Linked DNA regions of Mus musculus: all the other regions are reported to be linked to region 4. The links are microRNA targets in miRTarBase. Many come from high-throughput screens and were not tested one by one. Region 4 holds a microRNA gene; each other region holds the end of a gene's coding sequence.

What was found. The annotated mature microRNA mmu-miR-290a-5p reads ACUCAAACUAUGGGGGCACUUU and lies in region 4 at 1,847-1,868, opposite strand. An mRNA with a match to its seed (bases 2 to 7 or 8) in the 3' UTR can be bound and repressed. Matches are read on the target gene's strand: a 7mer-m8 pairs with bases 2 to 8, a 7mer-A1 pairs with bases 2 to 7 and ends in A, and an 8mer does both.
Region 1: the mRNA of Cd93 is a reported target of mmu-miR-290a-5p. Seed matches in the 3' UTR shown: 7mer-A1 at 3,090-3,096.
Region 2: the mRNA of Rasgrp1 is a reported target of mmu-miR-290a-5p. Seed matches in the 3' UTR shown: 7mer-m8 at 2,120-2,126.
Region 3: miRTarBase lists Ripor2 as a target of mmu-miR-290a-5p. Seed matches in the 3' UTR shown: 7mer-A1 at 2,992-2,998.
Region 5: miRTarBase lists Topors as a target of mmu-miR-290a-5p. Seed matches in the 3' UTR shown: 7mer-A1 at 748-754.
Region 6: miRTarBase lists Sh2d4a as a target of mmu-miR-290a-5p. Seed matches in the 3' UTR shown: 7mer-A1 at 1,258-1,264.
Region 7: miRTarBase lists Gal3st3 as a target of mmu-miR-290a-5p. Seed matches in the 3' UTR shown: 7mer-A1 at 705-711 and 7mer-A1 at 1,181-1,187.

What each region holds. Positions count from the first base shown.
Region 1 is chr2:148,437,429-148,441,919 of GRCm38, reverse strand. It overlaps Cd93 (CD93 antigen), which reads left to right. Exons shown (of 2, transcript NM_010740.3): 1 at 1-405; 2 at 653-4,491. The coding sequence ends at 677. Among named protein-coding and RNA genes, the nearest start is that of Cd93, 3.9 kb to the left of the region's middle.
Region 2 is chr2:117,278,906-117,283,396 of GRCm38, forward strand. Rasgrp1 (RAS guanyl releasing protein 1) reads right to left here. Exons shown (of 17, transcript NM_011246.3): 17 at 1,078-3,771. The coding sequence ends at 3,637. Among named protein-coding and RNA genes, the nearest start is that of Fam98b, 31 kb to the left of the region's middle.
Region 3 is chr13:24,730,932-24,735,422 of GRCm38, reverse strand. Ripor2 (RHO family interacting cell polarization regulator 2) reads right to left here. Exons shown (of 23, transcript NM_029679.2): 23 at 1,617-3,838. The coding sequence ends at 3,738. It also overlaps a transcript of Armh2 not described here. Among named protein-coding and RNA genes, the nearest start is that of Armh2, 8.0 kb to the left of the region's middle.
Region 4 is chr7:3,216,016-3,220,506 of GRCm38, reverse strand. Mir290a (microRNA 290a) reads right to left here and starts at 1,881; the gene lies at 1,799-1,881. Mir290b (microRNA 290b) reads left to right here and starts at 1,812; the gene lies at 1,812-1,869. D7Ertd143e (DNA segment, Chr 7, ERATO Doi 143, expressed) reads right to left here and starts at 1,723. Exons shown (of 1, transcript NR_028425.1): 1 at 1-1,723. Mir291a (microRNA 291a) reads right to left here and starts at 1,588; the gene lies at 1,507-1,588. It also overlaps Mir292, Mir292b, Mir291b, Mir293 and a transcript of Nlrp12 not described here.
Region 5 is chr4:40,256,113-40,260,603 of GRCm38, reverse strand. It overlaps Topors (topoisomerase I binding, arginine/serine-rich), which reads left to right. Exons shown (of 3, transcript NM_134097.3): 3 at 1-998. The coding sequence ends at 423. Among named protein-coding and RNA genes, the nearest start is that of Smim27, 11 kb to the left of the region's middle.
Region 6 is chr8:68,346,260-68,350,750 of GRCm38, forward strand. It overlaps Sh2d4a (SH2 domain containing 4A), which reads left to right. Exons shown (of 9, transcript NM_028182.1): 9 at 395-1,445. The coding sequence ends at 487. Among named protein-coding and RNA genes, the nearest start is that of 1700125H03Rik, 20 kb to the right of the region's middle.
Region 7 is chr19:5,307,379-5,311,869 of GRCm38, forward strand. Gal3st3 (galactose-3-O-sulfotransferase 3) reads left to right here. Exons shown (of 3, transcript NM_001024717.2): 3 at 1-1,361. The coding sequence ends at 516. Among named protein-coding and RNA genes, the nearest start is that of Gm42064, 2.5 kb to the left of the region's middle.

The DNA of each region.
Region 1 (4,491 bases), not on the chromosome of region 4:
CTCTAAGGATGTCTCCAACAGAGCACAGACAACAGGTCTCTTCGTCCAATCAGATATTCCCACTGCCTCTGTTCCACTAGAAATAGAAATCCCTAGTGAAGTATCTGATGTCTGGTTCGAGTTGGGCACATACCTCCCCACGACCTCCGGCCACAGCAAGCCGACACATGAAGATTCTGTGTCTGCACACAGTGACACCGATGGGCAGAACCTGCTTCTGTTTTACATCCTGGGGACGGTGGTGGCCATCTCACTCTTGCTGGTGCTGGCCCTAGGGATTCTCATTTATCATAAACGGAGAGCCAAGAAGGAGGAGATAAAAGAGAAGAAGCCTCAGAATGCAGCCGACAGCTATTCCTGGGTTCCAGAGCGAGCAGAGAGCCAAGCCCCGGAGAATCAGTACAGGTAAAGTGCCATAGGTTACTTGGGTAGCTGGGCAGCCAGATGTAGGCCTGGGAGGCACAGACCACAGAACTGAGAGCAGAGACAAACAGTCAGCAGGCCATTTGTTGTTTAAAGCCAACCTCAGCAGCCCAGTCCAAAAGTGCCTATCTGTCCTATGAGTTCATGTGGAGTAGCGGCAAGGGGACCAAGGATGCAGATATGGCAGAGTTCCATGGCATCTCACACTGTAATCTTCTGTTTTCCACAGCCCAACACCAGGGACAGACTGCTGAAGACTATGTGGCCTTAGAGACAGCTGCCACTACCTTCAGAGCTACCTTCTTAGATGAGGGGGAAGCCACATCATTCTGAATGACTTGACTGGACTCTCAGCAAAAAAATTGTGCACCTTCCACTTAAGAACCTGGTGGCTTGGGATAGGCAGGTATTTTCTTGGTGCCTTTGATATGTCTGGGGGTGAAAGCTGTGTGTTGGTTTGTCATTGTGGGGAGTTTTGTGGATATTGACAGACCTCACTCAAACACCCTTTTCAAATCCAATAGCAACTGGTTCCTCTGGTTCCTAATTAGGGGGAAAGGAGTCAGAGGGGTGGGACAGGGTGGGGGGATGGGGCTTCAAAGTTTTTTCTTATCACTTGATTTATCATCGAAGGAGTTACTGGTGCTAATTACAATGGAAACAGTTCCTTTCCATCACAGGACAGACAGCAAACCAATTTAAAACTACTTAACTAGGTGAGAGTGCTCTACCCTTCCTATAGGGACTTTTTCAGGATGGCTGCCTTTGTGTACATTTGCCTTCTGGCATTTCCCCTTCACGTCCCCCCCCCCCCCCCAGCCCCCTTGGTATTGTTGAAACTGTCAGAATGAGAGGAAGTTCAACCAACTGCTTAGGGAGTAAGCTGGCAGGAAGTTTAGATATTGTATCCCCTCACTCTTAACTTTCTGATAGCCTTGGGTTTATGGGCAAGCAAAGTTACAAGTTGGGAAGTTGCTTCAAGTGAGTGAGAGGTCTTGGTAAAAGCATAATCCAGAGGGGGAGGCAGGAGGGGATTGTTTTAACAGATATTTGAATGAAAATATCAGAATGAACTGATGCTAACACACACCTGATTATTGAGAAACAATAACAAAACTCCTAGATTCATTTGTCTTTGCGCTAGCACAGGCCCCAACTCCACTGCAGGGCACCCTGTCTACCTTTATACTGTCCCTAACTGGAAGCTGGTACTGTAGGCTCAGAAAGCCTTAGGAGGCTTTCATTCTGAACGTAAGGAAAGGATGTGTGAGCCAGGTGATGGGCTCTATTTTAAATGCTCCCATTTAAGTTTACCTTAGTCCACTTCACAGTTAAAAGTACATCTGGAGGACTTGAGCCCTATCTTGTTGGCGTGACACATACCAAACCAAGGATTAGTCATGAAGAAAGTTCTCTCTCTCTCTTTTTTTTTCTTAAAAAAAAAAAAAAGGAGATAGAGGGGAAAGGGAAAGGGGAAGAGAGAACAGCTAAAAAATGTCCAGCCTTTAAAACTGCTTAGAGCCATCTTATGATTGACATGTTTATTTCAAAGTGTCCATTTACAAAAGTGTCCCTTAAACTTGCAAAAGTGTCCCTTAAACTTGCTGACGGTAATGTTGTTTCAGCTGCACAGGTCTGTCTGGGGACTGGAAGGCATCCCTGGTGAGTCACTTCAGTATCTCTGGGAGGCTTCATCTTAGTTGTCTCTGCTGTTTGAAAAGCTGAGACATGGAATGTGTCTCCATCATGAGATTCAGAGTCTTTGTTCTCAGACTAGAGAACTTTGGTTTCTAGGAACAAAGGCACCCATCCCTCAAGTTGATATCCAGGAATCGAACGTTAATAACAAGCAGATTCAAGACCTTTGGAAATATCTTAGAGAAATATATTAGAGAAATACCTTTTTTTGGCCAATTTAAAATGAAGATATTTTTATTAGTCTCTCTCTCTCCTCCCTCTCTCTCTCTCTCTCTTCTCTCTCTCTCTCTCTCTCTCTCTCTCTCTCTCTCTGAAAACACAAGGTGGAGAGTAATGGGAAAAAGATCGGGCTCAGTGGGATGCCTGAAATGAGTGCATTTAAAAATCAACTCAGCATCTGGCTTTCAGTTGAAGTTTGGGTGTTTGGAACAGGATCCCTGGCAATAACTGAGATTGGCAGCTAATCCATTACCAGCAGACCAGCATTACCAGCCTTTCAGATCATTCAGATGAATTTAGAGCCATGGTAGTATCTGCATATACGGACATGACCCTAAAAGCATCACTTTTACCTCCAGGCCTTCAACTGCTCACCTTTATGGCTGGAGATGAGGAAGATAACTGAATCTAGGCTCCCCACAGCTGTGTTTGATCTATGCCCAGGCTGCTGTGTAGGACTTCAACTGACCAGGATGACTTAGGGGATAGACATGAAGCTCCATTTCCAATACTCCTAGGGGTACAGGATCCACTCTGTGGGACCCACAACAGGGAAGGGAATGATGAGGAACATATTTTCTCAAAGTGTGCTTTCAGCATGAGCCACTCCCGTGGAGACAGAGCTCTCTCATCTCCTGACCTGCCAAAGCCTTCAGGAGAACCATACCTCATGTGGCAAAGCCAATGGAGCCACTCACTGTTCCTAAATGGGTGCTTTATTTTCACATATATTCTTTTTTTTTTTTTTTTTTGAGACAGGGTTTCTCTGTATAGCCCTGGCTGTCCTGGAACTCACTCAGTAGACCAGGCTGGCCTCGAACTCAGAAGTCTGCCTGCCTCTGCCTCCCAAGTGCTGGGATTAAAGGTGTGCGCCACCACTGCCCAGCCTCACATATATTCTTGCTGTCCTCATACTTGAGACTGGAAAATTCTGGCTTAGGGCATCTAAGAGGCAAAGCAATAAATAAGTGAACTTCTACTGGACCAAAGGTGTGTTAGGCTATGCCTTCTCTACCCACGACATCAGTGAGCAGAGACAGAACACTCCTCTGCCTGTGAGGACCAGAGGAAGTACTACTTGGCAACAGAATTTTCTTAAGTCCAGACCTGGAAAAACTGTATTTTGGAGGGGCATACCTTCAGGCCTCCAGCCTACCCATTACTGAGTTGTAGGTGGCCATCACTGTCCTTTGTATTTTATGTGGTTCTGGCGATGGTAGCCAGCACATGAGTATGGTAGACACTAGCCTTCCAGGATCCCTATACTCCTAGTACCTTGCATTATTTTTGTTCATTATTAAAGATAGTCAAAAAGCAATACCTCCTCACCCCCAGTAATTTGAGGAGTTAAACAAACAAACAAACAAACAAACTACTCAGAAAGAAGTGCCTGGAGAGAGAGAGAGCCCTAAACACTATTTGCAAAGGAAGTCTAGCCTCAGTTTTCCCTGGTGTCTAGCATGGCTTTGATGCAACCCCAAATGTATGCATTTTCTGGCTTTGGAGACCCACTTATCATTATCATTACTACCATCACCACCACCACTACCACCACCGTCACCATCACTGTCATCACCAGCTCAGGGTGCTACGCATCATCATGGTGTTTTATTAATGACAGTAACTGGATGAATCCCACCTGTCTCTAACTGAGAGCAAAAAGGCCAGACAGAAGAGGAGCAGAAAGAAGAGAAGCGGGCTGCTTTCCTTCAGCTTCATACCCGGGGAAACCGAGTAAGCCTCTGGGAAGGTCTACCCTGATTCCTTCCCCAGAGCACTGGATAATGTGGAATGAAACACAAATACTTTTGAGTACATGTTCACAGTGCAGGGCAAGCTGCCGAGAAAGAACTCTTTACCTCCTCATCAAGTTTTCCTCCTCTTTGAGTTCCTAACCATGAGCCTCGCGTGGACTGTTATCACCAACCAAACTTTCAATAGGTGGATGGGATCACTAGGTCATTTTGTTCTGCCTCTCTTTTCTCATAAATATTTCTGCCCAAACTAAAGGAACAGAGATGAGATTTGACCAAAAAAGGAAAAAAAAAAGATTACTCCATTCAAAATAACATATTTTTTGAAAGCAAATATAGGAAAGCCTTTTCCTATTATTTTTTTTCTTCTTAGCTTCCCCATTGTCTGAATTGGGAA
Region 2 (4,491 bases), not on the chromosome of region 4:
CTGGTCTGGCAGTAGGGCGACTTAGGGCTTTTATGGTTCATCACACAAGAACATTATAAATGGATTAGGTAGGGCACATGGACATTTGTGATGGATGGCATTTCACAGTTCCCTGAAGCCTGATACCTTTTTGCATGTTGATTCTATTTTTAATTTCATGGGGTTTTTTTCCTCCTATTTTCTTATACTTACTGTCTTCCCCCTTTTCTATGTCTTTATCCACCTATGAGCATCTGTGGACAAAATCGGACTAGAAATTTCCAAATTAAAGTAGCAACTGAGTTTTTCCCCTGGGCTGAGCGAGCTCAGTACCATCCAACCCCATGAACTGACATCAGAGGGAACTAGGTGTTTCTCATTTACCAGGACTTGTGGCAAACCGTGAGGCTTTGTAGCCAAAACACATAGTGAGTGATATCTGGTTTATCCACTCTGTAACGAAGAGCTTGTGGTGAGATCTGTGAGCTGGGAATGAGGGTGGGCAAGAAGCACTTTCACCTTCTGTTCAGGGTCAGCTTGTCAGAATGACTTCGTTATTTCACCTAAAATAACATTAATTATGGAGATACACCCCATCCCCCAACCCAAATGTACCACAATGTGCAATGTGTGAGTGGCTGGCATCCTCCTCTGCATGGGTCCCATCATCAAAATCTGGATAGGGAGAACAAATGGTGCCTCTGATCACTCCAAAGAGTGACCACAGATGAATTGCTGAGTGGATCGGGACACGAGACTGAACCGTCTTTCTGTCTACTTTGTCTTCTTTCCTTACTGGTTTTCTTAGCTAGAACTGTGGCATTAAGATAAGAGCCACAGGAGATGATAGCTTTGGCCCCTTTAATTGGTGTTGAGCCTTTGACAGACTTGATGTTCAGAGAGGTCATTATAAGGTGGACATATCTGCATTGTTACTTCCTCATCCTGTAAAAAAGGAAGAACATTTTAACCCAAATAAGCTAGGGGTCCCCCCCCAGAAAACCCTTTTTAATAGACTGGAGGAGCATTTTTGGTTTGAATTCCAGTAAAAAGTTTAACAAAATGCCTACATATGTATAAAGTGAAGAAGCACACGACTTTGAAGTTATAGGGATCCAATGTTTTTATGATATAAATATGAGACACAGAAAACATAAAATAGGTATAAAATATCTTACAGTTTGTACAGTTCTTTCGAAGCTTTTACAGTATACATCTTTAGACAATTTCACAAGTGGTCAGTAAATGGGTGAGTCACTCCACAGAGAAGAAGAGCAGAGACATTGCTGTTCACAGACAGGATCAGTCCTTGCTTTGGCAGACACCCATCTGCCCAGACATTTCAAGACAGCCTGGTAAACAAAACCTCATGTGACAGGCCAAACTTTGTTCCAGATTGTATCAGGAGATCCCACCTGCTCCTACCATTCTGCAGGAACAGTACCAACTCAGACTTCACACATCCTTTGTCTTGGCTGGAATGTAAGAATTTGTGAGGAAAACTACTGTCTCCCACTATCTTTCCTGTCCTTTCTGCTGTCTGTAAGGTCATCTAGCTGTGATAAATGACTGAGGCCCTCTGAATTCCTATATTACAGATTATTTACACAAAATCTCACTGGGAGATCTTTATTGGGGATGAGAAATAAGAAAAAGGCATTGTCTAAAGAATCAAGCTCTACACTTGTACTAGTGCATAACAGAGTGAAAATACAAATTTTGAGGTCTTCCATTAGTCCTATCACTCCATAAAAGTTTCCACATAATATAGACACCTGCCAGAGGCGTAGTACCAGGTGCTATGCTTTTCACGTTTCTGAGATGGGATGTAGAAGAAGGATAACTGTGTGTAAAGTAGTTCATTAAAGTTTAGAGAGACACTCACCACAAGCCAGCTCTTTGTCACTGAAATGCTCCAAAGAGGTGTGCAAACAGGCAGTGGTCTTTCATCAAAGGAATATCTTAAATGATTTGAGTCCTTTAGGGGGCAGCACCATGTACAGTTCATATTCCTCTGTAGACTTTATGCTCTTGGTCGTAGGGTTGAAACTTTTAAACACTTTTTCCTTTGATTTTTCCAGACAGAGTTTCTCAGCATATCCCTTGCTGTCCTGGAACTCATTCTGTAGACCAGGCTGGCCTCAAACTCACAGAGATCAGCCTGCCTCTACCCACCGAGTGCTGGGATTAAAGGCATGTGTCCCCATTGCCCAGCTAGGTTTGGAACTTATTTAGTTCGATGAGACTCTTAAATTGCTTGTCTTGCATATTAAATTACAAGTTAGTGTGGTGCCAGACCTTCCTAGCATGGAAACAGTCTCCTCAAAAGGACACAATCAGATGAGATGTTTTTTGAAAGCTAAAAGGAAGCTGACAAGAGAGTTTGTGAATTGCTTCACAGGCAACAAGACAAACCCACTGATTTTAACCTTCACGAAAGAATACTGGGACACTGTTACTCACGGTTTTGTTAAGCAGAACAATTTACATTGTTAGCAGTTTGCCTTATAATGAGCAGAACTATACTTGCAAATTTGTGTAAGTGACTAAAAGGTGTTTGATTCACGTCTGCATTTTCTAAGGGAGAAGGTCCAAGCTCCATGCATGTCTGATACTATATATATACATTCTACACACATGTAAATACTGCCAGCTATGAAAGCCGTCACACCCATTAGCTTATTTGTAGATAATAAAAGTGAAGACAACTTAAGCACAAATTCAGTTCAAAAGAGAACCTTATGATAGATTACTTGAGAGAGAGAGAGAGAGAGAGACTAGAACATGAAGAATTAAACACTGTTCACAGACCATTTCTTTTAAAAAGTCACAGATTCTTAATTCTACCCACTATAGAAAGACTATCTGGATAAACGTGTTATTGTGGTTTGACTTAGCTATTTAGCTGTGTGTATGCCATGGTAATTGCTGTTTGTGGGTAGTGAGTGAGTTTTATTTTGTATTTCATAATGACTAAGACCTAGAGCTATAAGTTGGCCTGCAATTAGACAATGTCAAGTTCAATTAAGAAGCTCTGGATTTAAAACCAGGCTACATCGCTAGGAGTTCACTTCTAGGTAGATGTGCTGATGTGCCTATAAGCAAGGGAGGAAGGAGGCGGGCAAGTGAAGGACAGTGGGGAAAGAGGCTCTTGATGAGGTCTGAGGTAGCGAACACTGTAGGGATCAGTTTCACAAACAATGCAGGCATGTCAAAGTCACCACGCTTAGGCTATTGTTTCCGTTATGAGCGGGGTTTGGGTAGAACAAAGTAAGTCAGTTTGCGGAAGGCAGCAAATGGATTCACCAGGGACTCTTTATCTAAGTATGAATCAGTAAAGCGGGCTGCCTGGGACACCCTCAGGAAACTCTAGACTTATTTTAGCGCATGTTTGGTATTGGTTTCAGTAAAGAAAGAAGGTTAGAATAGGAATGCTCAGACTTTGCATGCTTGAGCTTTTCTTCCCTTTGATTCAACTGACTGAAAACCAACGACTCACATTAAAAACCGTTTAGGTAAAAACCAAGGATGTCAACAGTAGTGGCCAGCTCTACCCTTTTAAAGTCAGTCAATCTAAAGGTGCTGAACGTCTGCAATGAGTTTTGAAGTGAGATCCCAGTATACCCTCCTGCAGATTCTGGTCCTTGAAATTCTGGATTAAGCACTATCACCGTGGTCCATCTGGGCTAAGACATGATTGCTTTTCCCAAGCTGCAGGGATTCTATTTTCTTCTGTGCGTACTTCAGTTGGATCTTCAGAGCATCGTTATCTGCTTTCAGGGTATTTATTTCCTAAAAGGAAATGAGAATAAGGTGTGGTAATAGAGCAGCAGTGAATAGGAAATTAGTGACAGTATCAAGAGCATTATATTTGATTGGCATCTCCTGTTCCCTGTGGTTAAGAATTATAAACTATTTTCAAAGCAGTTATTTAGCTGTGAGTATAAAAGAACACATTAACTATCATGGGCATGCACAAATAGCAATTACTCTTTGTTATCAGATCTCAGATGTGAGTGGCTAGCAGGACAGAACAATCCATTCTTGGGCATTGGGTGGAGGAAGCCACAACTTTTGGGTAGTGTGACGCAGGCATCGTAACTTGACAGAAAGTAGTCTGGTCTGGTCTGTTCTGAACTATGAAAGCAGTGCTTCAAAGCTCTGTGAAGTGAGATGTTACAGTTGATGTAACCTAAGTTCATAACCCCCTGTTACTGATAACTCATACTCCTTTTTGATGGAAGAGTTTTGCCTCATTCCCAAATTGGGATGTAGTGTTGTAATGGCAGTAATTTAATTATATAGCCAGTGGTTGCTTTCCAGGCTTCTGGTTTTGAGGAAAGTATCTTTATGCTAGACTGATTTACATGGGCATCATAGACTATAGGTGCATTGTCTCGTTAATTTGGCACCCTCTGAATTCTCACACAGAATCACTAGGGTACCCTTTGCCAGCTTATGTGAGCTTGAGCACTGGCTGTGAGCCTGATACTGCTATGTGACAACAGAATG
Region 3 (4,491 bases), not on the chromosome of region 4:
CCTAATTAGCTGGTCAGCCTTTGACGGATGTTTAACGTGCAGTGCAGCTTCTTTTCTGGGAACCTCCATTCTCACTCTCCTCATAAAATAGACATTGAGATAACAAAGCATGAGTATTATAATCATAACTTTTTGGCTTATTAGTCGCATTCTTCAGTGTCAGCCACAAAAAAACAGTGAGCTCATACATAGCTGCAGGAAGGGCTGCTTGGTGGTCAGCTCCAAATCCAAACTACAGTGGTACATTCCCATTCCAGAAGGGAGGACTATGGTACCAAAAGGAAGGATCAAAGGTGAAGGTAAAACCCCCGCAGAGAAAACATGAGGTCTTCCAGCTTCGTGGCCAACATACAGGACACAGCGATGTGGGCTCCAAAAAAAGCCTTGCCAACCAGGTGGCTGCTCCCTCAGCCTGGCTCTGCCTACTGCTTGCGGCTTCTTGGGCAGACACGACACAGTCAGGTCATAACTTCTTCCTCTGCAGACTTTGGATTCATTCGGTGCAGTTTCATGAGGTGTCATCCTCGGGTGGGGTGGAGTGGGGTGGAGTGGGGTGGGTGGGTACCCCTCGCAGGACTCCTACACTGCCACACATGCATGCTTCAGTTTTTTTCTTCTGAAATCTCAATGGAAGCTCCCGCTGAGGTCATTCTCTGCTGCATAATGAGTTCAAGGGCAGCCTCAGCTATAAAGACCTTGTCTCAAACCAGGGTAGGGTGGGCAGGGAACAGGCTGGAGAGGTGGCTCAGCTGTTAAGAGCGCTTGCTTTGGATCCCAGGTGGGCACTGTATATTTGCCTATAACCTCAGGTCTGAGGAGGGGTGAGGAGACAGGGATTGCTGGGTCTCGTTAGATCCTAGGTTAGACAAATGATCAAAACCCTGGATTCAGAGAGAGCCTCAAAAGAATAGGCAGTGAGGGACAGAGGACATCTGACTTCTCCTGGCTTTCATGTGTGTACAAGTGCAAAGCCCAACATACACATGTACATATTCACACACATATGCAACTAAATCAAGACATTTTTTTAAAAATTGGGAGAAGAAACTCCGAGTGTATTCAGTGAACCTATATTGGGTATAGATGAGAGGCAAAGACCAATACAAAGTGGGCAGAGGCCTAGCTAGAACGTTCACTAAGTAAAGACCTTGATACTTACTGGAAGGCTGGTTTTGGTGGGATAGCATCACTCAGGCAAGGCAGGAAGGCTGCTGGCTCAGTCTGAAGGTGTTTTAAGTGGTTGCTTTCCTCCTGTGGACTCCAGTCTGCTACTTTGTCGGGATACAAAATTCCCTTATGCTTTTCACTTCAGGATAGAAGCTCTAGTAGACAATGAGGAGTAGTGTGTTGTATAAATACTAACTCTGGAAGGGACTGGAAAACAGAGAAGGACCATGAGGTGGCTCGGTGAGTGAGGCCCTTGCTGTATAAACCTGAAAACAATCTGAGCTTGATTCTGGGGTCCCACGTAACGGTGGAAGGAAAGAATGGACACCACAGGGTTGTCCTCTGACCTCCACAGGTGCACCATGTATACCCCTCCCCCACCACATTATACACACACATAGTAACAGATAAAAATGATAAATAAATATATATCAGATTCTACACTAGACTAGTAATTAAAAATAATTTTTATTTTGACTTACATGATTGAAAGAGGGATGAATACAAATATCACAAACCTAAAAGCACTTCCCAACCAAAAGCCAGACACAGAGGTGGATACAAAAGATGTGAAATTAATTATCCATGCAATATTCAAAACTGTTTCAAATCCACAAATAAACCAAACAAAAGCCCTGTAATAGCTGTGATTTCACTTTCTACAAAAGAGACATTTCAACCATTTAACAAAGACTGTAGCCTATACATACTATAACTGTACAACATACTTTTAAAATGAGGGATATATGCATATATATAACATTTACAAAAATACAGATATGTACAGTGGGACTTCACAGTTGAAAGGATGTGTTGCAAGAAGCCCAGCGAACAATTTTCACTTTAAAATGAAAGGAACTTTTAAAAGTCTTGCTGAAATGTAAATATTGGAACTAATATCTAATTGGTATTTTATACAAACACATCCAGAATACAGTTCACATTGCACCCACACATATTATTGTGATGTCTTGGCATCCCCACTCCTTGCACACGTTGTAAGAGACTGAATCTCTACCCTGGTACTGAGCTGCTGTGGAAACTATGGGGCAGTTTCCATCTCTCAGGGCATCCTGCTTCCAAGGTTCATGGCTATTCTATAGAAGCAGGAACCACTTTCAGTACCTCAATATTCTGTCCAGTGTCAAATTCTACGGTAAGGTAAGATGGACTTTGAAGTGCTGTCAGTCACAACTACAATGTAGTCCAGTGACTTAGGATTCATCCAAAGTCCAGGTTTTCACTTAAAAGAGAAATACATCTTTCTGAATCTACAACTTAGGCGTGTGTATTTGTCTTAGAAAAAAAAATTACACATGTAGAACCAGGCCTAGTGGCTTGTGCCTATAACCCCAGCTCTGGAGGCAGAGGCTGGAGAACCCTTGCAAGTTCGAGGTCAGGCTGGACTGTATATTGAGTTCCAGGTTGGTCAGGACTACAATAGGAAGACTCTGTTTCAAGACAAAACAAAAGCCAAACAACAAAAAACCAAGAGTGTGATAAAGATGGCTCTGGTTAAAGAACGAAAGCTTAAGGTTTTGCTTACTTTTAATAGTATAGGCACAACCTCAACGAAGCAGAATTCTTCCGTTCCTCTCTTAAACCACATGGATAGATGATATGGGATTCTCAGGATGGAAATAGAAACAAATAGTAGGAACTATAAAAAACTAAGCTATAAAACTTAGGTCCCAGCCGGGCGTGGTGGCGCATGCCTTTGATCCCAGCACTTGGGAGGCAGAGGCAGGCAGATTTCTGAGTTCGAGGCCAGCCTGGTCTACAGAGTGAGTTCCAGGACAGCCAGGGCTACACAGAGAAACCCTGTCTCAAAAAACCAAAAAAGCAAAAACAAAAACAAAAACAGAAAACTTAGGTCTCCTCAACCCCCATAGCTTCATGTATCCCAGGTTGCCCTGGGAACTCCCTAGGTAGCTGAAGATGACCTTGAACTTCTTCTGATCCTTCTTCTCTTCTGAGCACTGATTTTATATGCGCAGCATAGCCAGCTTGTGCAGTGCTGGGGATAGACCCAAGCTTCCTGCTCCCTAGGCTAGCACTCTACCAAGGGAGCCACACCCTCAGCTCCAAAACTTACTGTCTTATAGCTGATCACTTTTGCCAGGCTCTGTAAAAATAAAAAAAAAAAACAACAACTTTTATTTGCAGTACATTCCTTTTGTGCTTTGTCTGTTTAATAAAATTCGGTAACTAAGGGGCCACTCAACCCTGAGAACACAGCAGAAAGACGGCAAGGCATACGATATGTATGTATCCAAATAGCACATGAAGAATTCAAGCTTACAGATGAACTTCCACAAAGGCATAAAGATGACTACTTTCAAACTCTACTTTGAAGTGCTGTCAGTCAAAACTACGATGCAGTCCAGGGAGTTATACACAGCCCTGTTCTGTGGGCTAAGGAAAAGTAGACAGTACAGTGCAATTGGACTTGGACATCTCCGTCTTGGCAGCGGCAGCAGCTCTCTGCTGTCTGGCCACATCACAGCACCCTCTTGAGAACAGGGGCCAGGTATCATCGGAATAGCAGTCAGGCAGGGTTAACGTGAAATTTAAAAGGCTGTGGCAACTTCGGTTCCATGACGACCTCCCACTTTAACACAATCTCGAGGGAATTTGTCTAATTGCTCGTACGCCAGTCGCCCGTCTTCTCCTGGATAGGGAACATTAAACACGACTACATTACATATGCATCACACAGAATGAAATGGAACTGTGCTATGGAAACTTTCTGCACAGTTCCTGGGGATTGAACCCAGACCCTCATGTATGTTAGACCAAACACTTTCCCACTGAGCTGCACCTTCAGCGTTGCATTGCTGTCTTAGCTAGTTACTATGTTAAGGAAAAGTGATTTTCCATTATTCTTCACTAGATTATGGGTTTCTAGGCAACGCTTAGAACCACCAAGAACCTTTGAGTTAACATTAGAGACCAGATGAAAGGCAAGGCACAAAACAAAGTACAAGCCTGTGCCAACTGCTTCCAAGTGTACATGCCAGGTTAATTTTTATTTAGTGTTTTAGGGACTTTAGTAAGGCTTAATCCTTGACCTCATTGTATTGAATCTTTATGTAACTTGAATACAGTCTATATTGGTTTAGTTACATTATATCATATACACACAACATTTTACATCCTATCATTATGTACATCCATGTGACTAATGGTAAAAGTTAGGCTTTCAAGTTTCCGCTATAGTCTTTACCCCCTGTAGTGGCTATTCCTGGTTGTCAAATGGACTATATGTGGAATGAACTACAATCCAGAATTGGAAGGCTCATCTGTGATCCTGATCTTGAGGCT
Region 4 (4,491 bases):
AGCTTTTACTTTTGCCCCATTACAGACTGAATCATACCCACAGATGACACCCAAATGATGCAACACTTAGGCCAACTGCAGTTTCTCAATCGGCAACACTACAAACTCTGCGGCACTTCTTACAAAGAACAAAATGTCACACAGTTTGAGTACCACAGATTGAAGCATTTCCACAGGGACCTGCTGTGGTAATAAACCTGAAACTTTATAGTCAGTTCTTAGCCAGACCAGCCAGCCAGGCAGGTTGAAGGCAAGTAAGTACCCCAGGCTAGGCAGGATTACATTCAACTCAACTGGAACACCTGAAAAACAAAGAGAATCCATGAAGATTATGCTTAGGGCACACAATGTAACACCTGTAATCCCAGCCCTCATGAGCCTGGGCTATTGTAAAGCCAAAAGGTATTATGGGTATTATCTACCCGGCTGTCCACCAAGCTTGTTTGTGCTAGGAGCCAGGTTAAAGTCAGCTACAGCCAGCAGGTCCTAAAAATTCAATCCAACCATATCAAGACTCACAACCATCAGTCCAACTACAGTAGTCAAGCAAGATATAGCAACTACAGTAGTCAAGCAAGATATATAGGATCTTTTAATCCCAGGTGGATGGAGCTGAGGCCAGGCTGGTCTACAAGTGAGTTAGCTCCAGGACAGCCAGGGCTACAGAGAAACCCTGTTTGGAGAAAAAGGAAAAAAATTGAAAGAGGACTTAATATGGCGGCCACGTGAGATTTAAAAGTAGGCCTTTCTTTACTCAGACCTGAGGCTTAGACTCACCACCCCTGGACCTGGAGTGCCTCCTTCCACCCTGCCCTGCTTCCTCCTCACCTCCAGCCTTGCAGCTCGAGTAGCCAGTGGCAACGAATTCACCTCCAGCACACATACCTGTTTCAAGCAGGTAAGCGATTCCAGGTTGCAGCTGCAGCCGGCTTTTCAGACGCCATGTACACACAGAGACAAACAAAATGGATGCACTTTCCCGCCAAGCCGCGGAGAGGGCCTCCACTTTGATCGACACTGTATGTTCCAACTTCCAAGACCTGAGGCTCAGCTCCTCCGAGCGAGGCCCATGTGGGATCCCGGCTCCTTTATGAACGCGGAAAGCCTTTAGTACCGCATGCGCCCAAGTGTTCGGACTCAAACCCACATGTGACACCCACCTGCCCAGAAATGCAACCCCAGTGAAAACATGACCCACTAAAACTTAATTCTTAGTTCTTAGCCGTTTTGAGTTCTCAACCGGTGACACTCAAAACCTGGCGGCACTTTTCTTCCGATGAAAATCCAAAAGAGCCCCCAGTTTGAGTATCACAGGCTGGAGGTCAAGCTTAAGAACAATCTACAATGCACCTGGACTCACGACTGCCTTACATCCATCCGCGTCTCGTGGCACCCAACTGAACCGCCCTCTTTAGGATAGGACCCATTAAACTCCAAGCCTAAACCCCCACACAGGTTGTCCGCTCCTGTAAACCGATGCGTCAGATGCAAAGCTATGATGTTTTCCCCATGCAGTGGCACACAAAGTGGAAGCACTTTCTCATTCAGGCTCAAGAGAGGGCCTCCACTTTGATGGCCGCTACATAGGTGTAACAGCTCCAAGCAGCGACAGGACGCACATGGAGCCCCCAGGTACCCTACAACGACCACCTCAGTTACCGTCTACTGGGCAGGATGCCCATCCCTAGCCTTTCGCTATACTCAGTCTCATTCCTTTCTTCGAATCCGTACTCACCACGCTGCAGTTAACCCGGAACACGTGGCACCAGGGCTGGTAAATGTGCCAGATAGCCGTTTTCTCAACCGGCGGGGCTTAAAACTAGGCGGCACTTTTTAAAGAAAAAAAAAAGTGCCCCCATAGTTTGAGTACCGCAAGATGAGGCGGTCCAGACGTTAAAACATTTACCAGGAGGAAAGAACGTGGAGAACTTAAAATTCACTCCAACCTGAAGGAAACCTGGATGAAATCAAGGAAGAGTTAGTACATCGGTCTAACTCAAGGTATAGTGAAACTCAAAATTTCTACAATGAAACCACGTAGTTAATGAAATGTACTGCATAGACTCCCTAGACCTGCCCTCAGTAACTCCTAGCTTTGGTTTCTGGTCCCCAAACTTCACTCGCGCCCAGACTACTCACTTTCCCCACATAGGCTCGTTCCTCCCTTGAAATTATGTAGACCAAGTCAGAAAAAAAAGCCCAACTCTTTTTCCACACACATTAGTTCTAAATGTCTTCTTTGGAGACCAGACCAACCTCAGATGGGCCTGCCTCTGCCTCGGGATTAGTAAACCCAGCCAAACCGTGGGGGCGAGCGAGGAAGGCTGAGTTCGCGGCTAGCCTGCCTTTTAAAAAAGGGGCTCTAGTTTTTAAAAAGTAGAATGAAGATGGCCGTGATGACCTTTAATCTGGAGGCAGAGAGGCAGGCAGAAATGAGAGTTAAAGGCCAGCCTGGCTAGTCATCTCCAAAGTTGAAGCAGGAAGATCTCTCTTCTGGAAATCCTGGATCTACTTTCGCCTCTCTAAACCAGGTAGATTAAAACCACAGAACTGAAGGAAATAAAAAATCTGAAACTAAAAATATTACCTTTGCCTATGTGAGAAGCAGCACGCCGGAGGTATCCCTGAAGACCGCAGAGACCAGCATTCCCGATGTGGAGTAGAAGTCTCTGAGAGGCGTGGGGGAGGCTCTAGGTTCTTATATAGTCTGAAGGCTCATTGGCCCCCTGGACTGGGAGGCTCTGATACCCCTCCCCCACCCCGGAGAATCCTTACTCTACCACCCTGCTTCCTCTGAGCTGAGTTTCCCTGCGGCAGAGTGACCTTCACTGGTTTCTTCTCCCCCCCACCCCCCAGAGGAAACAGATTTCTTTGTTTGTTTCTAGAAGCAGCGCCTTTAATCCTATAGTTTTCTAGGCCGAGGCTGGAGGATCTTTGTTAGTTCAAGGCCAGCTTGGTCTACTATGGTGACTAGGCACGGGACTAGGCAGGGCTACATTCAGTATTAAGATAATAATAAAAATAAATAAAGGAAGAATGTGGGAGGTTCAGTTTATTCTTTCGTTTGAATTTTTTTTAAATCCAGAGTTTCAAATCCTCCCTCTTTTTTACCTTTCTTTCTTTCTTTCTTTCTTTCTTTCTTTCTTTCTTTCTTTCTTTCTTTCTTTCTTTCTTTCTTTCTTTCTTTCTTTCTTTCTTTCCCACACTGAATATGAAGGTCCAAGAACAATATGATAGAGTTAGTTTTCTCCTATGCTTAAATATGTTTTTTTTGGGGGGGAGGGGGTTCAAGACAGGGTTTCTCTGTGTAGCCCTGGCTGTCCTGGAACTCACTCTGTAGACCAGGCTGGCCTTGAACTCAGAAATCCGCCTGCCTCTGCCTCCCAAATGCTGGGATTAAAGGCGTGTGCCACCATGCCCGGCTGTTTTTCTTTTGTTATTATTATTGTTGTTGTTATTATTATTTATTAAATATCTTTAAATAGCTCCATGGATTGAAATTAGGTCTCCAGGCGGCAGGGCTAAAGCTACAGAGGCATATTGCAGACTTGGAGTTTAGGGTTTGTTTGTTTGTTTGTTTGTTTTTTGGAGACAAGGCTCAAGTACGCCAAGCTGGCCATAAGCTCATTAAATAGCCAAGAATAATTTAGGACTCCTAAGTCTACACCTTGTGTGTGTGTGTGTGTGTGTGTGTGTGTGTGTGTGTGTGTGTAATGGAACATTTTTAAAAAATTAATTTAATTTTTAAAAATGTATTCACCCTACATCCTACTCACTGCCCCCCTCCAGGTCACCTCCTTCTACAATCCTTCCCCCAACCCCAGTCTTCTCCTCTGAGTCGCCCCCCCCCCCCCAGCACTTCCAGTCTGTGGGGCTAGGTGCTTCCTCTCCCACTGAGGCCAGACAAAGCAGCCCAGTTTGACCATCATAACTCCGGGACAGGCAACTGCTTTTGGGATAGCCTCTGCTCCAGCTGTTTAGGACTCACATGAAGGTCAAGCTACACCTCGGCTACATGTGAGCAAAGAGGCCTAGGTCCAGCCCATGTGTGTTCTTTGGTTAGTGGGGACTCATAAGTCTTTGTCTCCAATCTTCCAAGGGCTGGAATAGGCATATACCAGTATGCCCAGTTCAGTCATTAATTCCAGGCATATTTAATATACTTTAGATGTCTTGTTAATTGAACAAACAAGCCTCACCAGCAATTTGCTAGGTCTTAGGCTTGGGGAAGCAGATAGAGATATGGGTTTGGTCAAGTATAATGGCACATTCTTTTAATTCCAGCAATGGGTAGGCCAAGCAGCTACAAGTGAAACTGTGCCTCAAACAGCAGCAACAAGAAGGATAATTCTTTCTTTCTTTCTTTCTTTCTTTCTTTCTTTCTTTCTTTCTTTCTTTCTTTCTTTCTCTCTCTCTCTCTTTCTCTCTCTCTCTCTCTTCCTTCCTTCCTTCCTTCCTTCCTTTCTTTCTTTCTTTCTCTCTCTCTTCCTT
Region 5 (4,491 bases), not on the chromosome of region 4:
CATGGAGATAATACTTCACGGTCGCCGGTGGTTATAACCATCGACAGTGACAGCGATGGAGAGTCTGAAGTAAAGGCGGGTATTGAATGTAGCAATGGCAGTCTTCCACAGCCTATACAAGATGGAGCATTTGAAACTAAAGATGTTGTCACAATCGAAGATGAGCTTGGTGTCCTGGACAAGGACTGTGACGTTACAGCACTTGCTGATGACTTGAGCACCAGCCAAACTGTGGAGAATTGTGACTCGCCGGCAGTCCCAGTTGAACAAACTCTTGATGTAAGAGAAGAAAGCACCTTTGCCTCTGATTTGGAGAGCCAGTCGAGTAATGTGTCTATTCAGGCTGAACCATCGAGACCAGTGCCATCTCCACGGACCTCACTGTCATCAGTGTCTCCTGGTAGAGACTGTGATGTGTCTTAAGACTGCCAGAGCCCCTCCTCGATAATCCGAGGCTGTGGGGAAAAGGTAAAGAGTCATCTATTGCAGTCTAGATGACTTCCTGGAAAAACTTTGCCTCTTAAAATATCTTAACTGTGTGTGTTAATTTGTAAAATTCATTATTTGTTCAAAAAGTTATGTATGTCCCATTCCCAGATATATGCACTTTTAAGTGAAGAAAATGTTGCTAGCTGTTTATTTAAAACTTGGGAAACTTTTTAAATAAAAATCAAAAAAATTTAGAAGTTATTTCATAAAGCCATATGGTATTGACATATTTTTATGGTAGTATTTTTGAATTTTTTTTTTGAGAGTTATTCTGGAAGTGTGTTACAAGCTAGGAGAATGCTTTTGGACAGTTATTTTTCATAAAAGATTTGTATGATTCAAAACCATTTCTTAGACTGAAGTAAGTCGTTTTAATCTGCACAGGTTATCTTGGCTTCTGCCAAAAGCAAAGTTTAGTATTTTCTTTATATACTTGGTTATCTGGACTGGCAATAAGACAAATGTGTATTCAACAAAAGACAATAAAACTGTACACTCTAAAAAATTCAGACAATTTTCTGTGCAACATTGATTTCTTTAAAGTTTTGCTGGAGCCAAAGGCTTAAAACCTGGGTGAACAGTTAGTTACGGGCCCAGCTTCAGTGGCTGTAGTCTCTCCTCCCCCATAGCTCAGTTCTTTAGTTGCGACGTTGAGGATCTTTCTTACACTCTTCAGGGGAATGGCTTTGGAGCGTTTGGCTTACTACAAACACACAGGAACCCTGGCCAAAACCTGCTTTGGCAATTTTTCTGCACAAAGTGGCTCTTTGTTTTTATTGTTAGCAGAAATAAGATGGCTGTGTATCTAACCTGATAAAGATTGTCAGTGCACAGCAGAGCTTGGACTTACTCCAAACATAAGCCTCAGTTTGCCTTGTTTCCTGTGATTGGTCATTCTTGAGTAGAAATGGGAAGGCTTGCTTCACGGCCAGTATTGGGTTTTAGTGGGAGAGCAGAGCATAGAGAATCATTACCCTCATGGATTTTACCAATAGTTTAGTTAAAACGGTTGTATAAAGAATATATAGTTCTCCGGAGAGCAGTATATATGTGTGGAAATACATCTTACATATAGTGGGAACCTGATCTTCGTGGAAGTAATAGATAGTTGAGTTAGAGTTCAGAAAATAAGTTGACAGCAATAGAATCTGAGAGGCAGAGAATCTGCAGTGATCTAAAGGCAGGAGTGGGGCCTAGCATGTTAGAAGCAGGGTTGTGGAAAGAAAGTGTAGAAACAATTTAGGTAAAAATGTTCAAAATCTGCTTAAAAGGCAATAGAAAATGACTTTCAGACTTTAAAATAGAGTCTAAAATTAAATGTTGACAGTTTGAAGTTCACACAGTGAGAAATAGTGGAAGAACTATGTGATTAAGGAATGGACTTTGTAATTGCAAGAAGCCTTTTTAAGGGTTCTTGACGGGGCGGGGGGGGGGGGGGTTCTCACCCTTTCCATCCAGTTCCTCCCTACCTCTCCTATTTGGAGCCACTCCCTTCTTGTATCATTAGAATTCTAAGGGGTAACAGTAAAACAATAGAGTAAGATAAAACAGAAATAGGCTAGGAAAACCCAAGAGAACACACAAGAAACACTTGTTTGCACACTCAGGAGTTCCATAAATAAACTAAATTAGAAACTGTAACATGTATGCAAAGGACCTGGCGCAAACCCGTGCAAGCTCTCTGCTGCTCCCTCAATCTCTGAGGTGGTAACGGTTTAATCATGTTGGTTTAGATGGCCTTGTCTTGCTGCCCTCCTTCCCCTCTTTCCTCTTCTGCGGTGGTCTGTATCGGGCTGAGCGTGCCAGAGTCTGGCACTCTGCATAACATCTGGTTGCGAATCTGGTTGTTGGGTGTGGTCGGAAGAAGCTTTGGTGATGGCTGGACAGCTTGGGAGTCATTTTTATCACTATATATTTTGTTAAAAGATCATTAGGATTTGGTTTTACCTAAGGTCTCTGGGCTACCCAGTCTTAGGTTCTTGGTATGGTTTCCATCTCGGGTGGGATGGGGAAGGGGTGCTTCAGTCAAACCAGGTGCTGGTTGATTAGTCCCACACGCTTTGTGCCTTCGTAGCAGTAGCATATATTGCAGGGAAGACACCGTTGTCAGAGTTTATGGCTGGTTGGTGCTTACATTTCTCTTGCTAGTATCAGAGTACCTTCCTGAACCAAAGATGCTAGATCATAGGGTTGGAGGCTCTGTGGGCATCACCTCAACTTCTCCATGTTGAGTGGGTCCTTGTCATCATTTTGTGAAGAGCAACTGATTCTAGCAACAGCCTAGGTTTGCAGATTCCCTTTGGCCAACAACTCAATTCGATGTAACCCAATTACTGAAAACCTCATTTGGTGACAGAGATGGCCAGTTGGGGCTCTCTCCCTCCCACTATTTGGATATAGATTGCCTTCATATATGTATATATTTTAGGAAGCTTCTACCGTATTAGGTTTCTATACAACTCTTCAAATGCCCAAATTTTAGTTGGCTCTTCTGTGTTCCTTCATCCTCTCTCTCCCCTGTTCCTCCCCACTTGAACTTCCCATTCCAGCCCCCTTCTCATCCATAAGTATAGTCTAATTCCCTTTCCTATCAAGATTTGTTCCTCCTAATCCTGTACTCTACCTAACCTCTGGTTCTGTGGATTGAAGCATGATTATCACAGCTTAATAGCTAATATCCATACACAAATAAATACCATTCTTGTTTTGGGTGTGGGCTACTGCACTCAGGATGGCTTTTTTTCTAGGCCCATCTGTATACTTGGGAATGTCATGGTTCCAGTTTTATAAAGTGTTTTCTCAGCCATTTGTGTTTCCTCCCTGAGAATTCTGTTTATATCTGTCCCCCATGTTTTAATTGGACGGTTTTCTTGATACCTAGTTTAGTTCTTTCTGTATTTTGGATAACAGTGATACATACTTAGGAAAATCTTCCCCTTCTTAGGCTGCTGCTTTGTGGGAATAATGGTGTTCTTTGCCTTACATTATATTTTCAGTTTTATGAGGTCCCATTTACCGTTGATCTTAGTTCCTATGCTAATGGTGTTCTGTTCAGAAAGTCTTTCCCTCTGCTAGTGAGTTTAAGACTATTCTTTGGTTAGATTTTGAGTTTTGTGCAGGGTGAGAAGTGTGGATCTATTTGGATTCTTCTACATGCAGCCATCCAGTTTGACCAGTACCACTTGTTAAAGATGCTTTCTTTTTTCCAGTGTGTATTTCTGGCTTATTTATAAAAACAAAACAAAAAACCAAAAACAGGTGTCCATAGGTTTGTGAATTTATGTCTGGGTCTTCAGTTTGAGTCCACTGATCAGCATGTCTGTTGTGCCAATAGCAAGCAGTTTTTATTGCTGTAGCTCTATACCACAACTTGAAATCTGGGATGGCGATGACCACCAGGATTGTTTTTGCTATCCTGGGTTATGTGTTTCCATATGAAGCTAAAAATTGACCTTTTAAGACCGGTAAAGAATCATGTTGGAATTTGATGGAGATTGTATTACATCTGTAGATTGCTTTTGGTCGGATGGCCATTCTTACTATACCAATCCTACTGATCCATGAGCATGGGAGAGCTTTGCATCCTCTCTTTAAAATTTCTTCCTTCGGTGTCTTAAAGTTTTTATCATATAATCCTTTCACTTGCTTGGTTAGAGTTACCCCAAGATACTTCCTCCTCCTCCTCCTCCTTCCTTCCTTCCTTCCTTCCTTCCTTCTTCCTTCTTCCTTCTTCTTCTTTCTTCTTTCTTCTTCTTTTCTTTCACGGTCTTTTGGTCATTGTTATAAAGGAGGCTCCTGATTTTTGGAGTTAATCTTGTATCCAGCCACTTGGCTGAAAGTGTTTTGTCAGCTCAGGAATCTGTAGAGTTTTTAGGGTCTGTTATCTATCCTATCATATCTGAAAATAATACTTTGACTTCTACTTTTCTAATTTGTATCAAGACTTCGGGTGCTGTATTGAGTAGATAGGAAGAGTGGGCAACTTTGTCTTGATTCTGATCT
Region 6 (4,491 bases), not on the chromosome of region 4:
AAACAAAGAAAATAAATATATAACAAAGAAAGGCCTGACTAGGGATATAGCTCAAGTACCCTTGAGCAAAGGGATGGTGGTAGCACATAATTTCTGCTGGTAACAAGGGGTTTTAATTGTATTTCCTTTCTCATATCCACCTGGCATACTCAGAGATATCCCACGGGAGCTGAGAATACTAGAGATGTATATTCTGAGCATATCTGAGGGTGTTCCTATGCTAGAACTTGGGCTTCAGTAGGACAGGGAAACTGAAAGGAGGGAAATCTCTTTTAGTATTGTCATAAGCCAATCTAGGTATGCATAAACCCAGGGTAGAGGAGTGATCTCCCCTAAGGAGCAGCATGAACGTCTACCACATAGCTGCCTCATGGCCCTGTGCTTTGATTGACAGGAGGAGCCCATAACCTCTCTGGGGAAGGAACTCCTTCTGTACCCCTGTGGTCAACAAGACAAGCTGCCCGACTACCTGGAGCTCTTCCAGTGACAACTCTCATCCAGATCAGCCTCCAACTTCCAGCTGGTTTCCCCTCTGGACAGACACCTCTGAGATGGACATTTGTGTGTGATGCCAAAATCTCTCTGTGACAGAGCCAACAGTGAACAACGTCTGAGGTCTTCATTGAAACCTCTCTTCTGCATAAATGCTGGATTCAGTTTAAGGGGGTGTTACCTCTCTCTCATCCTCATTCTGAAAGGAAAAGGGGGAAGGTACCCACATTTGCAACATCCTAATATGAAGGATAGGACCTTGAAGGATATGACCATGATGATGTATATAAGATAAAAAGGACAAGGGTACACTGAAATCTTTTTAGCAATTAAGATGTTATTTTAAAAGAACAAGTGAACAATTTCATGATCTACACACTCCCTTTTTGTTATTCACTCAAAGGTCTCAGTATTCTGTGTGTATAAATTTTTATCTTGCTTTTAGAATGGTGGAAAAATGTCCCCACTGAGGGATGAGATTATCTTCAAAAGACCACCCTTTCTGTGTCTGTTGGAGTGAGGTTATAGAAGACAGAAGAGAAAGACCCAAGTGTAAATTGAAAGACAAGTTTCAAAACTTGAGATGAGAGACTTACCACATATGAAAAAAACCAACCAACCAACCAAAGGTTTTATTGTGACAGTAACCCTGAGTGTGATGGTTTGAATATGCTTGGCCCACAGGGAGTGGTAGTATTAGGAGGTGTGGCCTTGTTGGAGGAGGTGTGGCTTTGTTGGAAGAAGTGTGTCACTGTGGGGGTGGGCTTTGAGACCCTCCTCCTAGCTGCCTGAGAGATTCAGTCTTCTGGTTCCCTTCGGAAGAAGATGCAGAACTCTCAGCTCCTCCTCTGCCATTCCTGTCTGGAAAATGCCGCGCTCCTGCCTTGATTATAAAGGACTGAAACTCTGAAGCTGTAAGCCAGCCCCAATTAAATGTTTTTCTTTAAAGAGTTGCCTTGGTCATGGTGTCTCTTCACAGCATTGGAAACCCTAACTAAGACGCGTGAGTAATCTTAGGGTTTGTTTCTTCATTCTTCTCTACTCCCCCCCCCCCCCATCTGAAAGTAAATATAAAAGATACTGTGCGTGGCCATGTAAGGACTTGTGTGGTCCTGATTCCAAGAGAAGAACTGAATAAGTGAGTGGTTTGGATACCACCTATTGAGGGATGAATTGTGTCCCACACCAAATATACATGAAGTCCTGACCCTTCTGTATCTGAGTATGAACTGATAGAGAAATAGGATCTGTGCAGAAAAGATAAGTAAGATAGGCTCCAAATCTAATGAGTTGCATCTGTATAAGGGAGAAAGATAAAGAAAAAAGACAAACATGAGGATGGAGGTTAAAGGACCACAGAAACAGAGAGTAGAGTGGTGTAGGGCAGGGTATGGCGGGGATTATGAAAGGCAGTACGGCCCAGGCCCAGACTCTCCCTAGGACTCTATTAGGAAGCATGGCTTTGTTCATTTGCATCTTTATTTAAGCCTTCAGGGATTTAGAAATGTGAGATAATAAACCTCGAAATCACCGAATAGATGGCAACTTTTTACAGCAGCCTCAGAAAACTAGTGCAATAGTTTATGTAACCATGTGTCCTGCACGAGTTGCATGGATTTGTTTCTTGCTGCACAGTGTGCACCCTCAAGAGGAAATAAAAGTAGGATATAGGAATAAGACCCCGAGTAATGCTGGCTAGCCCTGGGACACAGATTTATTCAGCAAGTAATCTCCTACCTGCATCATCCTTAAATCAAAACCTCTAAATCCATTCCTAGACCAGCCTCAGTGAGGGGAGGCCAACCTCTGCTGAGCAGGGAGGGCATCTGTGAGTCACTTTTGCCTGGGAGGAAGTTACTTTGCCCATAGCTAAGCATTTCTTTTTACTTTGTCTTTTAACTAATGTAGATGGCACTGCAGTCTGTCCTTTGTGTGACTCACTCATTCCAAACACAGTGTACCAAAGTAGAGGCTAATGTGCACTCAGTCAATTGCTTCTTGAAATATTCCATTGTATTGTTAAATTTCTATGAGTCTCTGCCATTTCACTTTGTTGTAACATGGCTCAGAATCTCTGAGCTGTTCCCATCTCTCTCCACTTTTCCCTAATTATTTTGAATAGGCACTTTACCTAACTATGTTAGTTACTTTCCTCACTGCAGTGACAAAAGTACCTGACAAAAGCAACTTAAGGAAGGAAGGGTTGACTTTGGCTCATGGTGTGAACTCGTGGTCCATCACATGGGAAGGGACCGTGGGAGGTGGTGCGGCAGCTAGTCACATAGAACCCATATTTAGGAAGTAGAGAGAGATGACAGCTCTCTCCTTTTTATTCAGTCTGCGATCCCAGCCCATGGAATAGCATTGCCCACATTCAGGGTAGGGTTTCCCTCTTTGGCTAATTCCTTCTGGAAACACTTTCACAAGCATATCCAGAGGTGTTTTCCCACAGCGAACCTAAATCCAATCAAATTGACAAGATGAAGCATCACACTATCCGTCTTAGTTTGGGTTTCTTCACTTCTGTGAAGAGACATCATGACGATGGCAACTCTTATAAAGGACAACACTTTACTGGGGCTGGCTTACAGTTTCAGAGGTGCAGTCTATTATCATCATGGCAGGAATCACTGGCAGAAGGGCACTTTCCTCCACAGTAAGTCAGAGAGGAAGCTCTCATTCCTTATTTGGCAGAGCCTGAGCATAGAAGCCTCAAAGCCCACCCGCATAGTGACACACTTCCTCCAACAAGACCACACCTATTCCAATAAGACCATGGGCCAAGCACAGTCAACCACCACACTATTCAATCCTCAGTTTTACTGCACAGGAATGGTCTTTTAACTGAAGGACCTTTATTGTTCCTCTAGCTCTGAAAGCATACAGATCTGCGTTCTGTTACTCAGTGGAATAAGTCAAAAGTATCCTTTAATCACTGATAATTTTGAAGACATTTGAGATACCAGCATCATCCTCTGCCTAAAATTGTATTGTAGGCAATAATTATGGCTGTGTCCAAATGTATCTGTGTTTAGCGACTGAAAGAAGATTAAGAAACATCTCAATCCAGTTAACCTGATATATTACCAAGAGGAGTACCCTTGACTTCTGTAGTGTTTTATCTTACAGGTTCTAAACATGCAGAGGAATAAACTGTCTAGTGCTCAGTGATACAATGGCCAGGAGGAATATTTGAAATTCTGAGGGACACTTGTGTGTTGGGCTGAAGCCAAGTGCTAGTCCCTGCCCACATTGATTCTTGTTTGTTTGCTTCTTTCTTTCTTTCTTTCTTTCTTTCTTTCTTTCTTTCTTTCTTTCTTTCTCTCTTTCTTTCTTTCTTCCTTTCTTCCTTCCTTCCTTTCTTTCTTTCTTTCTTTCTTTCTTTCTTTCCTTCTTTCTTTCTCTTTCTTTTCCTTTTTCTTTCCTTCTTTCTTTCTTTCTTTTTTTTTTTTTTTCAAGACAGGGTTTCTCTGTATAGCCCTGGCTGTCCTGGAACTCACTTTGTAGACCAGGCTGGCCTTGAACTCAGAAATCCGCCTGCCTCTGCCTCCCAAGTGCTGGGATTAAAGGGTGTACCACCACGGGCCCAGCGATTCTTGCCAGTAAGAGTCTGGAAACTCCAGGCTACAGACATCTCAGACTTTTATGGACATGGCAAGCCAGGCCAAGAAGTGTTAGTCAAATCTTATCCAGGCTAAGGAAGAACACCGGAACAATCAAGACCAAAAATGACCAAAGAGACCACTAGTCATTATTCTAGTCTGCTTTCTATTGGTGCGATAACACCAAGACCAAAAGCAACTTGGAGGAGAAAAAGATTTACTTTGTTTACACATCCAAATAATAATCAATTGCTGAAAGAAGTCAAGGCAGGAACTGAAGCAGAGGACAGTAAGTAATGCTTTGTGGCCTAAATGGTTGCAGTGTCTTGTTTCTATATAGGTATCCCTTTCAGTGCACTAGAATCTGGGCATATCTGTGGCCCTCTCACATATGTAG
Region 7 (4,491 bases), not on the chromosome of region 4:
GACGTGCTCTACGCCAAGCTCAACGCGCGCGCTGCCTCGTCGCGCCTGGCCACCATCCCCGAGGCGCTGGCGCGGGCCGCGCGCACCTGGAACGCGCTCGATGCGGGCCTCTACGACCATTTCAACGCCACCTTCTGGCGTCGCGTGGCGCGCGCGGGCCGCGCATGCGTGGAGCGCGAAGCGCGCGAGCTGCGCGAGGCCCGCCAGCGTCTGCTGCGTCGTTGCTTTGGCGACGAGCCGGTGCTGCGACCCGCTGCCCAGATTCGTACAAAGCAGCTGCAGCCGTGGCAGCCTAGCCGCAAAGTGGACATCATGGGCTATGATCTGCCTAGCGGCGGCGCTGGCCCTACTACGGAGGCTTGCCTCAAGCTTGCTATGCCCGAGGTGCAGTACTCAAACTATCTGTTGAGGAAGCAAAAACGCCGCGGTGGTGTGCGGTCCAGGCCAGAATCTGTCCTGGATAATCCTCCCCCTCGGCCCATAAGAGCACTGCCCCGTATCCCCCAGGGTACCTGAGATCCGCCTGCCTCCAGGAACTCAGGTCTTGCTCCATTAGGGCCCTTTTATTCCCCACGGCCTTGAGCCCTGTGTCCAAATGGAGGTGCGTCTGCATCTGAGCCTGCCATCCTAGTGTCGCCCGTTCGAACCCCACTTTCTGGGATGGCATTGATGGGCCACCCACTCCTTCCCAACTTGTTGGTGACTTTGAGAAGAATCCAAGGGCGTTCTAGTACTGCCCACCCTGCCTTTTTCTGGGGACTGAGCACCCCACCTGTCATTTGGGGGTGTTGAGCCCACACTTGTGTTTAGTGGATGACCACAAGCCCCAGAGAGGGACTAAGTCCTGGGAAAATGCTGTACTTCCAGTCAGCACCTGGGCTTTTGTTCTTCCCAGGGCTGCCTAAGTCCCCTATTGTCTTCCAGGTTCTACCTTCCCTACACACACCTAAGCTGCTCCCAGACACACAGAACCAAGAATTCTTCGGTTGGGCTTTTTGTTGTTTGACTACTACTACTACTTCTTCTTCTTCTTCTTCTTCTTCTTCTTCTTCTTCTTCTTCTTCTTCTTCTTCCTCTCCTCCTCCTCCTCCTCCTCCTCCTCCTTCTCTCCTCCTCCTCCCCCTCTCCCTTCCCCTCCCCTCCCTCTTTTTCCTCTTTCCTTTTTTTTTTTTTTTTTTTTTTTGAGACAGGGTTTCTCTGTGTAGCCCTGGCTGTCCTGGAACTCACTCTGTAGACCAGGCTGGTCTAGAACTCAGAAATCCGCCTGCCTCTGCCTCCCAAGTGCTGGGATTAAAGGCATGCACCACCACTGCCCGGCCTCTTTCCTCTTTATTCTTTTTTAATAAAACAACTCTAAATTATGCAGGGTGTATGTCAATTATTGAAAGCCAGAGTCCCCAGGTTTGAGGATGAGGCAAATCTTAGTGAGATACCGTGGCTGGACCCACCCAGACTTGACCGAGTTTTCTGCTGCCTCTTCCAAAGGCCCACACCTTCCTCAATCCTTCCACCTGGCATAGCCACACAACCCATAGCATTTTGAGCTCCATCCATTTGCCAAAATTTATCTTTGTATTCAGTTCAACCATATTTCCCATCAAATGGAATGCATATGAACAAGGGAAGCAAGTCTAGAAACCATGAACAACTACAATATGGCTTTGGCAGGCTGGAAACAGGGTCATTTTCAGGTAAAGGGGTTCATAACTCCAGTTTTACCCCACACCCCTGTGAGGCCTGGACTTCACCACTGGGCATTTCCCCCCCCCCACAAGAAGATAAGACTTGGATAATAACCCGCCCCTACCCCCCCACAAGAAGATAAGACTTGGATAATAACCCGCCCCTCCCCCCCCACAAGAAGATGAGACTTGGATAATAACCCGCCCTCCCCCGTTTCCTTAGCACAGCTACATACGCTGGACTTGTCTTCTTTCTTTTTATTTATTTATTAATTATATGTAAGTGCACTGTAGCTGTCTTCAGACACTCCAGAAGAGGGCGTCAGATCTCATTACGAATGGTTGTGAGCCATCATGTGGTTGTTGGGATTTGAACTCAGGACCTTTGGAAGAGCAGGCGGCACTCTTAACCGCTGAGCCATCTCAGCAGCCCCCTGGACTTGTTTTTAATACATGGCTTCTCTGTGCAGCTCTAGCTGTTCTGGAACTCACTCACTCTGTAGACCTGAATGGCCTTGGACTCAGAGATTTGCCTGCCTCTGTCTCCTGTGTGCTGGGATTAAAGGTGCACACCACCACTGCCCTGAGAAACTCTTAACTTTTAAATAAAATCTCCCTTTTTTATTGGATATTTATTTACATTTCAAATGTTTATCCCCTTTCCCAATTCTCCCCCCCCAAACTCCTACCCCCCTCCTCCTTCTATGAGGGTGTGCCCCCACCCACCCACCCACTCCTGCCTCCCTGCCCTCAAATTCCGCTACACTGGGTCATCCAGCCTTCACGGGTCCAAGGGCCTCTCCCCCCATTGATGCCCAACAAGGCCATCCTCTGCTACATATACGGCTGTAGCCATGGGTCCCTCCATGTGTCCTCCTTACATGGTGGTTTAGACCCTGGGACTTCTGGTTGGTTGATACTGTTGTTCTTCCTGTGGGGTTGCAAACTCTTCAGCTCCTTCAATCCATTCTCTAAATAAAATCTCCCTTAAAGAATAGCAGAGAGAGCGAGGCATGGTAGTTCACGTCCCAGCACTCGGGAGGCAGAAGCAGGTGGACCAAGGCCCAAAACAACCAAACAAAAACCAGCAGAGAGGCAAGGCATGGCAGACAAAGCCTTATCCCAGCACTCGGGAGGCAGAGGCAGAGGCAGATTCGTGTTTGAATTTGAAGACAGCCTGGTCTACATAGTTCCAGGCTAGTCAGAGCTATCAATTGAGAGCTACCTTGACATATTTAGTCAAGTATGTCAATAAAACTATAGCTAACATGGTCTGCTAGGTTCCAGCTATTATTGTAGAGCTTTGCTTGAACTAGTTTGTTAGATAAGCATTCTTTTCCTCATGATGGAACTATACCTTAGGTTAAATGATGATCCAGTCATATAGCTAGAAAATACCATCAAGATTTGAACCCAGACCCTGCAGTTTCAGTATCTGCTCCCATGTGCTGTGTCTAGTGCTATTCAAAGAGAGAAGGTCACATGCCACAGGCAGACCTTCTCCCAAAAGAATGTAAAGTAAGACGCTGCTATCAGCTCTTAGGTTATTTTTCAGTGAGACAATGGTTGGCTTGTTTGGGCAAGGAAGATTGTAGCGGCTGGCTGGCAAGCTTTATGAAACTCCATCTTATTATTCTGTTTACTCTTAGTATAACAAAATATCTGTGAGTCCACAGCTTATGAAGGGAGAAATCTCTTTTGGCTCAGAGTTCTGGAGGCTCAGAGCATGGCACCAGTCTCTGCTTAGCTGGTGAGGGCCTCATGGCAGAAGGACAAGTAGGTGCACATGAAAGAGAAAGAAACAAAATAGCATGGCACACTCTCACAGAAATTAATCCAGTCCCCAAGAACAAGAACACACACCCAACCCTGTTACTTCTCACAGGCCCTTCCTGCCTCCAATCAACTCACTTAGAGGCCAAATTTCAACACAAGGTTTAGAGGGGACAAAAAGGATAAAAACCTCAGCACTGTCTGAATTTGAATGGGGCGATTTGTGTAGCACCCGCTTTGTACCAGTAGAGCTCAGAAAGAAGCAATAATTAGTGCCATGCAAAGCTGTAATTAGGTTTCTGCTGCTAAGCAGCAATAAAGAATTGTACTAGACTTGAGGCCATCTATCTAAAGACAGGTGTCCTCCAGCTCCCAGGCCCTGAAAGTGCCATTTTACCACCTCTCTTGGTCCTATACTTGCAAGGAATATCCTTCCTCCTGCCCTTGGTTGGTGTAGAAAACTCAGACATGCTTTGTATCTGCCTTGATGGGCCTCTCCTGTGCTCCTTGGCCCTTGGACATGGCCTCTTTTATATGGTTCAAATCCAGTATAAGAACAATGCTGGATTCAAAACTACCTGTGTCAAGAAGCAGGCCACATATTAGGCAGCAAACAAAATGCATCTATAAGGAACCTTGTTACAAGGCACTGGAGACCTAAGGGATTGAGCCTGTCTACTGGGTATAGCTGACACTGGAGCTACTTGGATCAAGGGTCCTAGAGTCCCTTCCTCAAGTGCACCCTCTTAAACCCGCCCTTCCCTTCCCTCAAACCTTAGCTTTCACCTCTCTCCAAAGCTTTTTGTAAAACCTTAATTGGCTTTGACTATAGAATGAAATTTAAAGGTTGCAGTTTTTTCTAACCTGGCTAGTGTCCAAGTAATTGAGATGGAGACTTATAGATTATTCAACAAGCATTAAGCACAATAATTGGGAGATATTCCCAACCCTTTATGTTATCTAGTAACTTTCCAGCCACAGGCCCAAGTTACTGCATTCAGTCTCTCCTTGGCTCACTCTGCTGTGGCTCTCTGTC